Drosophila melanogaster: one gene and its partner. The protein of the gene in region 2 purifies or fractionates together with the protein of the main gene of each other region. This does not show direct contact. Each region holds a gene or a part of one and is shown on either strand. Other genes may lie near its edges.

Region 1 (6,078 bases), on a different chromosome or scaffold from region 2:
AGAACAAGCACATTGAAGCATTTATTGTTTTAAAAATCACTACGACCTGAATAAGGGCATGGATTAGCCATGTCAACCGACGCCGACCTAAACAAGTGCGTCAGTCCCATGTACCAGGTGTCAACCGCAGGCGACGGCCTCCAAGCAGAAGCCGCTGGAGATCTGGCGTTGGCCTCCATTGTCGCAGCTCCCTCCTATTCCTGCGAGCCACAGAAGGACTCCACCGACATGGACGTGGACATGGAGATAGACAACGATCTTACCACTAGCGAACGGATGCCAACGGTGGCCGAGCTGGAGCAGCCGATGGATTCCAAAACGAAACGGGAGAAAAAAGAGGAGGAGGAGCAGAAGGACGCGCAGGACCAGAAGCCACTGGAGGACGGCTCCGTGCAACCGCCCAGCAATCCGACAGCCATCAAAATCGAGGAGGAGGACAAGCCAGTGAAGCCGCCGCCGCAGCCGCAGGCTCAGGAGGAAGTCGCGCCCAGTTCGCCGGAGACAGCAGCGAATCCCAGCCAGAGAACTGCGGGCAAGATCACCCGTAGCAGTCTAAATGGCACAGCCAACCAGGCGCCCACCCGCTCCCCAACGATAATAAAGCGTCTGCGAAAGAGCACGCGCTTCAAGGCCAAGCAAACGGGCAAGGGCACTCCCGGAAGCGGCAGTAGCCAGTCAAATGGCCACAATAGCGGGGCGAATGGTTCCACCGGCAGCTCCGTGCACCTCGCGGGCGCTGGCGCCCATCCCAGTAATACCAACAAGCATGGGAAGTCCGGTCCAGCGGGCACAGGCGGGGCCACTGGAGCCCGTAATCGCCGCGCTCTCTTCAAGAAACCAGCACAGAAAACTCCCAAGGTGCAGGCGAGCACCAGGTTCGTGAGAAGCCTTTTCCACAAGGGCAGCTATATACAAATCGGGGATATCGTCAGCATTGTGGACAGCGAGCAGAATCTGTACTACGCCCAGATACGCGGTCTGCTTGTGGACGCCTATTGCGAGAAGTCCGCCTTCCTCACCTGGCTGATTCCCACGCAGGACAGTCCGGATCCCCAGGAGGGCTTCGATCCCCCTACCTACCTAATCGGTATGTCAGTCCTGTCCTCCTGCCTGCTACCCAAAGTTTTTTAAATTGTATTTTTGCTTAACTCCCGTGCCTGCAGGACCCGATGAGGAGCTGTCCCGGAAGCTCTGCTACCTAGAGTTCGTGATGCATGCTCCCAGCAACTACTACTTCGACCGGAGCACCCCGTTTCCCCTGCCGGACGTGGATGAGTACACTGCCCAGAGATCGGGCGGCTACATCTGGACGCGGCTGCCGATAGTCAAGCGGGAAAAGGGCAGTGGCCACAAAGCGGGCGGTGCCTCCTAGCAGAAGAGGTGGCTCAAGGGCAGGATGGCCGGAGCCCTGAATTTGAAAAATCTAATTTATTGCAACTTTTACTCTTCGTAAACGGGCTACTTGCCGAACAGAAAATAATTCAAAAAGTACTTGATGTACTGTAGTACCAACTGAACTCAATCAGCAATTAATGAATAAAATACAATTTTGTAATTATGGATAACGAAGCGTTTCCGACCTATAAAGTATACATGTATAAACATATGTTCTTGATCAGGATCAATAGCCGAGTCGAACTGGCCATGTCCGTCTGACCGTATGAACGCCTCAATCTCAGGAACTATAAAACAGACAGTCGCAGCGCAAGTTTGTTGACCCATGTGGCCCAGTTTAGTGTCGTCCAACGCTACGCGCGCACTTTTGAAAAATGTTTTGATATTTTTAAAATTTTGTTATAAGTCCTGTTTGAATTGCAAAAAACTAATTCCCACGCCCACAAACCGCCCAAAACTGCCACGCATATACTTTTGAAAAATGTTTTGATTTTTCTTCGATTTTACTTTTTTGCAATTTGATCGGTATACCATAAACAAAACATTAAAAATTTTGATTAAGATACCAAAAGGTTATCGACACGAATCGGAATCGTTATTGAATTAGACGAGAAAATAGTGGTGGAGAAACATCGATGTTTCCGATTTGGCGAAAAATATCAAAGTCTTAAACATATTCTTTAAACATGTTGTTCTAAACATCGATGTTTTAAATAAAAACAAAAAAATTATCTGTTTAATTTAAATATTATTTTCTTTTTTAATATTGACTAAATAAAAAAGGCAGTATTTTAACTAAACATAAACTTATTGTCGTCTACGTCTTCATCCCTCCTTATTCAGGAGTTAAAAACTTAAATTTCAGATATTTATCCACGTCTTTCAGGACATCAGCCAACACCACCAGCAAGTCACACTAAATTTGCGATATGTTATTAATAATTCTATTAAAAAATATGGAACTTACAATTTATACTTACAATATATACACATATCTTCTCCGATGTGCAGTAAATACCATCGATACCATCGACGCCATCGATGTTGGCATCGATGTTTCGCCACCTTTACGAGAAAAAGCGGCGGTCACACTGCTTGAGCCTCACTGCGAGTGGTTTTCTATTAAAACGAAAAGGATAGGGACAGAAAAGCCAAAACTACGTTAGTTGTGAAAATTGCATTTGTGTTGCGAGAGTTTTGTCAGGATAAATAGGTGTATTTCCACCATGGAAGTCGACGAGGATGGATACGAGGTTCCCTCCAGCAGCAGCAAGGGCGATAAGAAGCGCTTTGAGGTGAAGAAGGTAAGTGGTCAGCAAAAAAGCAGGGTCATTGTCAATGAATGTACTGATGGTAACACTTCATCCTTTCCGCTTCGCCGAAAACAGTGGAACGCCGTGGCTCTGTGGGCCTGGGGTAAGTAGTAATGCGAATTGTAGTGCTCCGAGTCGGGGGATTAACCGCATTCCATTTCGATGCAGACATCGTGGTGGACAACTGCGCCATCTGCCGCAACCACATCATGGACTTGTGCATCGAGTGTCAGGCGAACCAGGCGTCCGCCACTAGCGAGGAGTGCACCGTGGCCTGGGGCGTCTGCAACCACGCCTTCCATTTCCACTGCATCTCTCGCTGGCTAAAGACGCGCCAGGTATGCCCACTGGACAACCGCGAGTGGGATTTCCAGAAGTACGGCCACTAAAATCTACAAAACCCCCAAGACCCACCAGATGGAGGGAGCAGCACTTCCCGCAAGCTAGATGATGGAGGCCTGCTTCATCTGGACATTTGAATACCTTTTTAGATCTTAAGCTAGTGGGGCGATTCGAGTGAACTGGTAGCCTTTAGGAGCACAGTTACCGATTTCCGAGACTCCCCGGGAAGCGCACCTTTTTGTAACGCGTTAAATAAAAGCTGTAGAAGATGGAGAAGACTAGACGGATGTTTCTACCTTTCACCCTTTGGAGTCTATATTCACTGTGACGATGGCATCTTACCGCGAAATCCACTAGCTAGTCGTGCCTAAATTTTCAGAGTATATAACTCATGACTGGCAAAAAATATGATTGGGTCATTGGGTTCCATAAATGTAGCTCTGCTTAGTTATCCTTGGATGGCATTTGAAGAGGATCTGGCTAGTTCAAACTAGTTTAGTTTTGCTTAACTATATGCGTCATGACCAGCTCCAGATCAGGTTGTTCAGATATATGAAAGTAGTTTCGTAAAAACAAATCAAAATCAGTCGATGCAAAGAAAGAGCTGCGTTTGTAAAAACTAAATGTTCTTTTTAGTTTATTATGAATGTTTTGCGGCCGCGGCAGCTTAGAAAATAATACACATTAGTTACAGATATGAATAAAGTATATGGTATATATCAAATATGATTAATGTTTAATTGCATAAGCTACTAACTAAACTTATAGGTAAACAAAAAATAATTATGTCGTTAAAAAATCATCGAATTTGCTTCGTGTGTGTGTGTGGTTGTGATGGTTTAGTTGTAGTTTTCTATCTGTCGCCTTTTAAAAACCAAATTTCACAGAGAACAAAATAAACAATAAGCTGGCAATAAAACGAAGGGCAGGGAGTGCGAGTTGTTTTGGATTCAGATTCATGTGAATTAAACCAGATTGCATGGTCCGTCGAACCACTTGAACCACCACTTGTATCGAGTTGTATTTAGCGTTTTATTTGAATCTTCTGTTCAATTGTTTTCGCTTGCTTTATAATTAAATTTCCCGCTTTTTGGTTTATATACATTGTTATTGTTATATGTATGTGAAAGTGTAAGCTCCTCCTCCTTTCGGTCTCTTCAACCAGCTCGCTTTGTAGTAATTAACATTAAGTTTGTCTCGTATATCTTGTATATACACCATGCATATATGTTATTATTTATATATTGCTGTTCTGGTTGCCGCTGCTGCGCTATTGTTTTCTTGTTGGCTATTGTGGGGTGGGAGTCCCAAGTATCCTCGAATATGTGGTTGTTTCATTATCTTGCAACAAACAGAGGGGCTTGCTTGGTGTAAAGCTAAGTTGGGTTTCGGATGCAAGGCGTCTAAAACCTCTGCTAATTGCGTCCTAAATCCTCCCATTCTGATTCACAGTGGCTCCTGGGCTGCTCGTCCGCTGTTTAGGTCGGTTAGTTCTCAACTGTACATGATTTGAATGCGATTTAACTCTATTCTTAGCCGTTTAACTATCAAATTGCTGGTGGTGGTGGTGGTGGTGGTGCTGCTGCTGCTGTTGCTGCTGCCGATGTTGCCGCTGCTCCGGTTGCTCCCGCTGCTGCTTTTGTTGTGATTGCAACACGCTGCCCTTTGCTGCGACCTTTTCCTACTTCTACGATTCAGACTGCCACCTGCAAAATAAAAGCACACCACACACACACGCGCCACATGCAACGCGGACACAAAGTAAAAGGGTTGGGAGAAACGGGAAGTGATCACAAAGAGAAAGAGAGAAATGGAAAAGAAAGCAAAAACAAAACAAGTTACAATCTGGTATATATCCGGATTCGCATTAACAAATTGGTCAGCCTGTTGCTTTGCTTCCCGAATATGAAAACCCAGGGCGGGTATATCAGGGATCATCTACTTGGACTAAGATCTAAGCCTACGGTTTCTATAAGGTGCTTGGAATCAGCAGCAGCAAAGGCAACGACGCCAGCAGCGCAGCCATTCTCAGTCTCCATCCCTTGTTATTCCTGCTTCTCTGCACCTGGTGCTTCACCATGTCCTCGCCCGGTACTCTCCCCCTACGCGCTCCTCCTCTTCTCATGGAAATGGCAACTGTGCTTAGTCAATTTGCTTGGAGATCAGTCGTTGGTTATTTCTGGCCGTGATGGTTGTTTGTATGATGGTGAGATGTAACTGCGCCCGTTGAAGTGGAGGTGGGCACCACTCCTGCTCCTCCGCCGCTGCTGGTCTTCTGCTGGCTAATCTGCGGCTGATTCTGTAGGCAGGCGAAACTGGTGGGGGCCAGGAGAGCACAGGTGCCGAATGTGTGCTTGGGCATGCTCAGAAAGCCAGCTCCAGATCCTCCTCCTCCTGACGAACCACTGCTGCTGCTCACGATGGCCTGACCCTGTCCCGGACTTGGTGTTCCAGCAAATTTGCCCAGCTGGTAGTAGTGCATCGCATAGGAGTCCTCGCCAGCAGCTCGTTGCTTGCCATTGGGAAAGTAGCTGTTGCTGTTGGTGGTCGATGTGCAGGCCGATTGAAAGGAGCTGCTGGTCGTCGATGAAGGTGATTGGGCAGCAATGGGCGGTCCAACCGTGGACGAATCCACTGGCTCTGCAGAGGTGGACGTAGCTCCTCCCACTCCACTGGATGAGCTGGTACTGCTTGAGGATGTATTAACTGTCAGACTGGTGCTGCTGGCGTAGGAGGCATTGAAGGACTCGTCGCCACCGCCTCCACTGCTGTTTAGGTCATCCAAGCCGCTGCCCGATCCCTCTGCTGCTGCTGGTGGAATGTCTATGGTGTGGGATTCGTTGCCAAAGATCAAGCGGAGTCGCTTCTTCTGCGGTGTTCCATATACACTGCTTGGGGCCGGCGATCTGCGTTGGCTGCTCCTGCTCCGGCTGCGCTGCTTCTTTCTCTGCTTCTTGTTCACCAGCTGCAGCTCCTCCTTCGGCGGCGGCTCCTCCTCTTCCTCGGCAGCTGGCTCTTCATCATCTTC
Region 2 (6,010 bases):
CTCTCTCCATTCGACGACCTTCTTGGCATTCATAAAAGAGTTTAAACTGTGAAGCTGTGTTGTTTTTATTGGGTTTTTTCCATCACACGCGATCCGAAAATGGAATCACGAGTTTGTCGGCTGATATTCAAAACGTGAGCACAAAAAAAATATGAATAGAACGCTTCATCGAATTTCACATATGAATGTATGAACATATACATATGTATATACATACATATATGTATGTACATATGTTTGTGCTGTGTGCCTATAGAAATTCCACTCCCATCCAATACATTTTTTTGGGCACTTGGCAACCGGCAAATATGGCTATTGAATATTTCTGGGAACTGCTTGAAATCGATTGAATTACTATTTTCAGTAGTAAAAAGTAGGTAAAGCTAGGAAAGCCACTTGAAAATACATAATATTGAAAGCTAAGCAGTTATTTTAAACTATTTATACATAGTTTAATTGGGTACTAACTACCTCATGATAAATAAATCAAAGGGGTAGGTGGTTTATCTAAGTTTCTTTATAATTCTGAAGATATTTATATAAGCAGGTGTTCTCACTTGCATGAATAGAATCTCGTTGAAAAGGGGACATTTCTTATAATTTCTGAACGGAAATCCAGAACTTTAGTTTGAGAGACACTTGACCAGGTGCCATCCGAGCGAAAGATGCATTGAATCGGAATGGGAATCGGTCCACTTTGCACTCACACTCACTCCGTGCGGCGCCGAGTGTGTACACGCTATGACCTTGCGGGGTTGCTGCCACCCACCGCCCACTTTGAACCCAAACCAACTCATTCATGACCCAGAGCAATCCAAAACGAAATCCACGCCGTGATATCACGTTGTGCTGAAAACAAAAAATGTATAATTTCTTTGCTTGACGTAAGCGCAAAGATCTGATGTTCGGAAATTACGAAAAACGAAATGTTTTTTTTTCTTCGAAATTCTGCAGCATGCGTATACACAGATTTTTGGGAATTTTGCTGCTTGTGTCGTTGGGCTATTTTAAAGTTTAAATGCTTATCGGAAAAGCTGCTCCATTTCGTTGGCTGTGCGCTTGTTAAATTTAGTTCCCAGACGCAAAAACTGTACGTACACAACAAGATGCCGGAGTTTTTCTTCTACCCTTAGTACTTTGCTCATCACAGTGCGACTTGGCTATAAACGATTGTATTCTAATTTGAATTTTCAAAAGAGCAGGCGATTTCATTTCACAATATTTCTTTAGCTTTGCAAAGCGTAAGCAAGTGTCATGATAACGAAAAGTGGATTTTCCCAGAAATATTTATAAATAATTTTGATAAGTTTACACAGAAAGTAAACTAAGTTTTTAGCGGAAGTGCAATATAAACAACATTTTGATTCTCGAAAAGAGGTTATCTTTAAAATCAAAAACAGAAATCGTTGTGAGTCCACTTATAAGTAAAAACTTTTGGAAACTGGAATATGTTGGGCCATAGAGCGCTTATTAAATGAATTTACAAAAATTTGCAAGGATGCAACTGACGCCTTAAGTTAGGCTTCATTATTTGAAGCCAGCTTGTGAGTCACTGGAATTTCATATTCTCTCGATTTTAATACGTTTTACATGACAAAGACAAAAGATGGGTAAATTTCACAATAGAGGGGGGTGGGGCTCTTTGTTGTGGGGAAGTTAGGGCGAGAGCGAAAGAAAGGCGAAGAAAGTGGGGAGCATGATGGCGAGGGGAGTGTCTGGAAGCTGCCAGAAGAGACAAGAGAGCGGGAGAGTGCGCATCCTCTCGCTCTTTTCACCTTCTGTTCGGTGTTTCTGTTGTTGTTCTTGTTTTTGGTGTGGCTGCAGCTGCGAAGCAACAATAACAACCACAACAGAGACTCGAAAACAGCTGCACACGAAAACGGTGGCTGTCAAACTGTTTTGCAAAATTTAAAATGTAACTGTACTTGGCAAAAACAATACATTTTGCTGTATTTCTGTATGTCGTAAAAGATCTTTCGACCTGGAAGCTGGAGAACACTTTTTCCAGCCACTTGGCCACCACCCCGCCTTTGAACAAACCAACCAATCGATTGGCCAGCTTATTGATTTTTCTATTCGAACATTTTGCATTTGTTGCTCGTTTCGGTCTTTTGCTTAGTGTGTTTGGTTCGAAAAAAGTATTGGCAATCATGTGGGCATCGACATACACACTTTTTTTTTATCACACCCACGCGAAAAACACGCGGCGCCAGCCAGACTAAAAGGATACAGGCAGCATATCCTGCACACACACACACACACGCGCGCACAAAAAAGCTCGCCAGGATCGAGTGGTGCAGTTGACCAGCAAACCGCAGCTGCTGACAGCCAATTTTGAGTAGCGGAAACAGTTGGAGCTGCTGCCCCGAAATGGGTACTCACTTGATCAGCAGCACTTTTTCGAATCAATATACCCGTCTATTCAATTTTTTTTTAAGCGGGACGAAGTCGCGCGCAACCACCGGCTTGCTGGGTTTGTTAGAGATGTGCCGATAACTCGCCACTGCGATAGCTCGAGTTGCTACTTTTTGTTGTACGCCACGCGCTTGGGATTTTAGCGAAATATGCGTGCCACAACTTAGCTTGTGCCGCAACCCCACACAGTGCTGCCACCTGTGGGCGAAAAAGTTACGTCTACATGGTGTTCTGGTCACACTGCCCCCGCCGTGACAAACAAAATAGAAAAAAAAATAAAACAAAAGATAAAATTTTAGCCTCCCCCCTTTGAGAAATAAAGGGTCATTTGAGGCAGTTTAAATCGAAAAGAATCCATAGGCACGGAGAGCCCAGCACACATAGAATGTTCCACTTCAGCGGCTTCAACATGATGTTCCCGGAGGGACGCAATTTTCATGCCAACTACAAGTGCTTCTCCGTATCCATGTTGCCAGGAAACGAGCGAACCGACGTGGAAAAGGGCGGAAAGAGTGAGTTACGAGTGTAGGCTGGACAGAAATTATGTGAACAACACATTCCATCCACAGTTATTATGCCTCCCTCGGCGCTGGACACGCTCACCCGCCTGAATGTCGAGTATCCAATGCTGTTCAAGCTGACCAACGTCAAGAAATCGCGATCCTCGCATGCCGGCGTACTCGAGTTTGTGGCCGACGAGGGCAAATGCTATCTACCCCACTGGATGATGGAAAACCTGCTGTTGGGTGAGGGCGACATACTCAACATCGAGAGTGTCTCGCTGCCGGTGGCCACCTTCTCAAAGTTTCAACCGCACAGCACCGACTTCCTGGACATCACCAATCCCAAGGCGGTGCTGGAGAATGCATTGCGCAACTTTGCCTGCCTCACCAGGGGCGATGTCATAGCCATTAAGTACAACAAGAAGGTCTACGAACTGTGTGTCCTGGAGACAAAGCCCGGCAATGCAGTCAGCATCATTGAGTGCGACATGAATGTGGAATTTGAGGCGCCAGTCGGCTACAAGGATCACTCCGAAACGCAGGCATCGGGCTCTGGGCAGCAGGGTGCTGCTGGAACTGTTGGCGGCGAAATCGCTGGAGCCACCAACGCCATACTCGAAGAGGTCGTGGAGACCTTCAAGGGTTCCGGCGTACGTCTCGATGGTAAGAAGAAGAAGGAAAGCCAGTTGGAAACGCCGGTCGTTAAGAAGGTGCTAGCCCGCGGCGTTCCAGACTATGATTTCCAGTTTGGACTCATCCGTTTCGATCGCAACATTCGGCCTATCAGTGATAGAAGCCAAGAAGATGATGCCGTAGCTGGCAATGCGGACGCTTCCGATGCGGAGAGCTTCCACGGCACCGGTTTCTCGATGAAGAAAACGCGCAAATAGCTCTGTATCTCTAGTTCTAGTTATATATTGTGTGACACATAGAAATTAAAGGAAAAACCTCACAGGGGCAGCGTCAACTTGATGGCCTCCTCCTTGGGCGGAGCCGGTGGCGATATGGTGGTCATGGGCGGCAATCGGCGTATCTTGCGTCCGTGTTTGCCTTCCTTGCGCTTCCACAGACCGGAACGTGGTCGATTGCCCATCTCCCGCATCCGCTGGGCACTGCCCACATGCTCCTTGTTGTGTTCCGGGTTGGACAGGCGACCAACCGTCGCCATGCAGGTGCGCTGGAAGGCGAACTCCCGCTTCGAGGGCAGCTGCACCACCACCTTTTCGTCGAACTTGCGCAGAATGGTGCCGAAGGTGCCGGCGGCATGGATCAGGTGGCACATCTGGCCGGGGTTCTTCTCCAGACAGTGAATGCGTGTGCCCACGGGCAAGGCGCCCAATGGATAGGCATCGCCTTCGTTGGGACGCACTATGGGATCATACAAAAAAAAAAAATTATATTGGCATAACTGGTTGTTTCAGAGCCAGTAAAATTTCTAGATTCCATGCTCAGTTTAAGACTATACTCAGAGGATTACTTAGAAAACGTTTAATACTCCCGATGAGTAACAGTAAGTAAATTTACCCGGAATCCTAGGAATAAAGCGCGAGGTCTTGAGGATATCGCCAGCCTTCATGTTCTCGGTGGCCAGGATGTACTTCAGCTCATCGCCGACGGCAACCAGGGCCACTTTGGCGGTGCGACAGCCATCGCGTAGCACCTCGAGTACCAGTTCCTCCTGGGCGCCCTCCGTGGGACCATCCCGCACCCATTTAACCCAGCGATACTGCTGTTTGATGCCTCCGCCAATGCCCTTGGCCACCAAGCGACCGGAGACGGGATCCCGACCAGCCAAATGGGTGATCTTCAGCGGCTCAACGGTGTACTTCTCCGGAAAGTGCACGGTTCGTCGGAATTGCTGTCCGGCACCAGGTTTTGGTTTCTCCACCACTTTGGTTTTGCCGCGCAATTGCTGCAGAAACGCCGGCGCCGTGCGAAACGGCGTTTGTATAGTCAGCGTTGTGCTCAGCAAACGTGTTACACTTTGCATTTTCGATAGTTTTATTTGAAAAATTAAATAGAACGAAAATATATGCAAACTGTTACAAAATCGAAATGCGGCTGAAAACAGCTGTTACGCGGCGTTGCCAGACCACGAACGGGCCATGCCTGATTTCGGGCGCTAGCGTTGCCAGCATTTTGCTCGAACTGATCTCTTCTTCTTCTCCTTCACCGCGCTGAAGCAATAAGAATCGGGAAAACCGCATTAAAATCGCTGAAAAAGTGCACAAATCGGCTTTAAATTATTGCCCAATTACTAGTGTTACGTGCATATCGAGAGATTTCATAAATTGCAACAGCCAACGATTTTTTCCAACAAGGTACGCAAAATAATAAAAATAAACAAGACGAACAGAAAAATAATATACACACACAAACACGCAGCGAAAAACGTGTTGTGTGCAAAAAAAAAAGACTGAAAAAAAAGAACAACAAAAACAGTTCGAGTTTGATAACCAACGGCGAAAATATAAACAGCAAAAGAGAGAGCGAGAATTAGTAGTAATAAAAATCAATAGCAGAGTGAGCGGAAAATCAGCTTAACCAGCTAAATGGCATATAAATAAATATAAGGTTTTTATTTTGGAACACGCTCATCCAACACACATGCACACGCGCATACACGCACGCACACACACAGGAGTAAAGGTATGGGTGGCCTCAAGTGTGTGTACATATTTTGATGTTAGGTGGGAAAAAAGCGGGCGGCAAGTTTACGCAATCGCCGAGCGAAAAGCAAAGAGCAGCAGCTATACGTTGTGAAAAGTGTGCTTTTTGTGTGTTTACAAAGAGACAAACAAGACATCCGTCGTTTGTATGTACGTGCCTATGTATGTATGCGCAGGTGGAGTCGGTTGCTAGCTGAAAAATCAACGAGCGGCATTTTTTACGCATTTCCAATACGCCACATACATATATACGTGCGTCGTTTGCGCGTGTGTGTGTGTGGTTGTGTGTATTTTGGTGTTTTTATTTATTTATTGTGCTTCTCTTTCGTCGTTTGCCGTTACGAGTGATGTATGCATGTATGTATGTACTCGCCAAATCTATATGTGGCTGTGTGTGTGCGTGTGTTTACTTATATGACCGTA

What was found.
Region 1: the proteins of Ufd1 (region 2) and Roc1a purify together in Drosophila melanogaster (affinity purification with western blotting; one study listed by BioGRID). This does not show direct contact.

The regions. Positions count from the first base shown.
Region 1 is NC_004354.4:644,827-650,904, forward strand, and holds Roc1a (regulator of cullins 1a), read left to right. Parts: upstream 1-2,477; 5' UTR 2,478-2,621; coding exon 2,622-2,811; intron 2,812-2,876; coding exon 2,877-3,097; 3' UTR 3,098-3,771; downstream 3,772-6,078. Other genes in the region: CG13367 (uncharacterized protein), read left to right, coding at 70-1,087, 1,164-1,372; Hmt4-20 (histone methyltransferase 4-20), read right to left, coding at 5,224-6,078. UniProt on the Drosophila melanogaster protein: Core component of multiple SCF (SKP1-CUL1-F-box protein) E3 ubiquitin-protein ligase complexes which mediate the ubiquitination of proteins involved in cell cycle progression, signal transduction and transcription.
Region 2 is NT_037436.4:11,119,839-11,125,848, reverse strand, and holds Ufd1 (ubiquitin fusion-degradation 1-like), read left to right. Parts: upstream 1-2,632; 5' UTR 2,633-2,800; coding exon 2,801-2,927; intron 2,928-2,984; coding exon 2,985-3,808; 3' UTR 3,809-3,867; downstream 3,868-6,010. Other genes in the region: mRpL2 (mitochondrial ribosomal protein L2), read right to left, coding at 3,868-4,286, 4,443-4,908.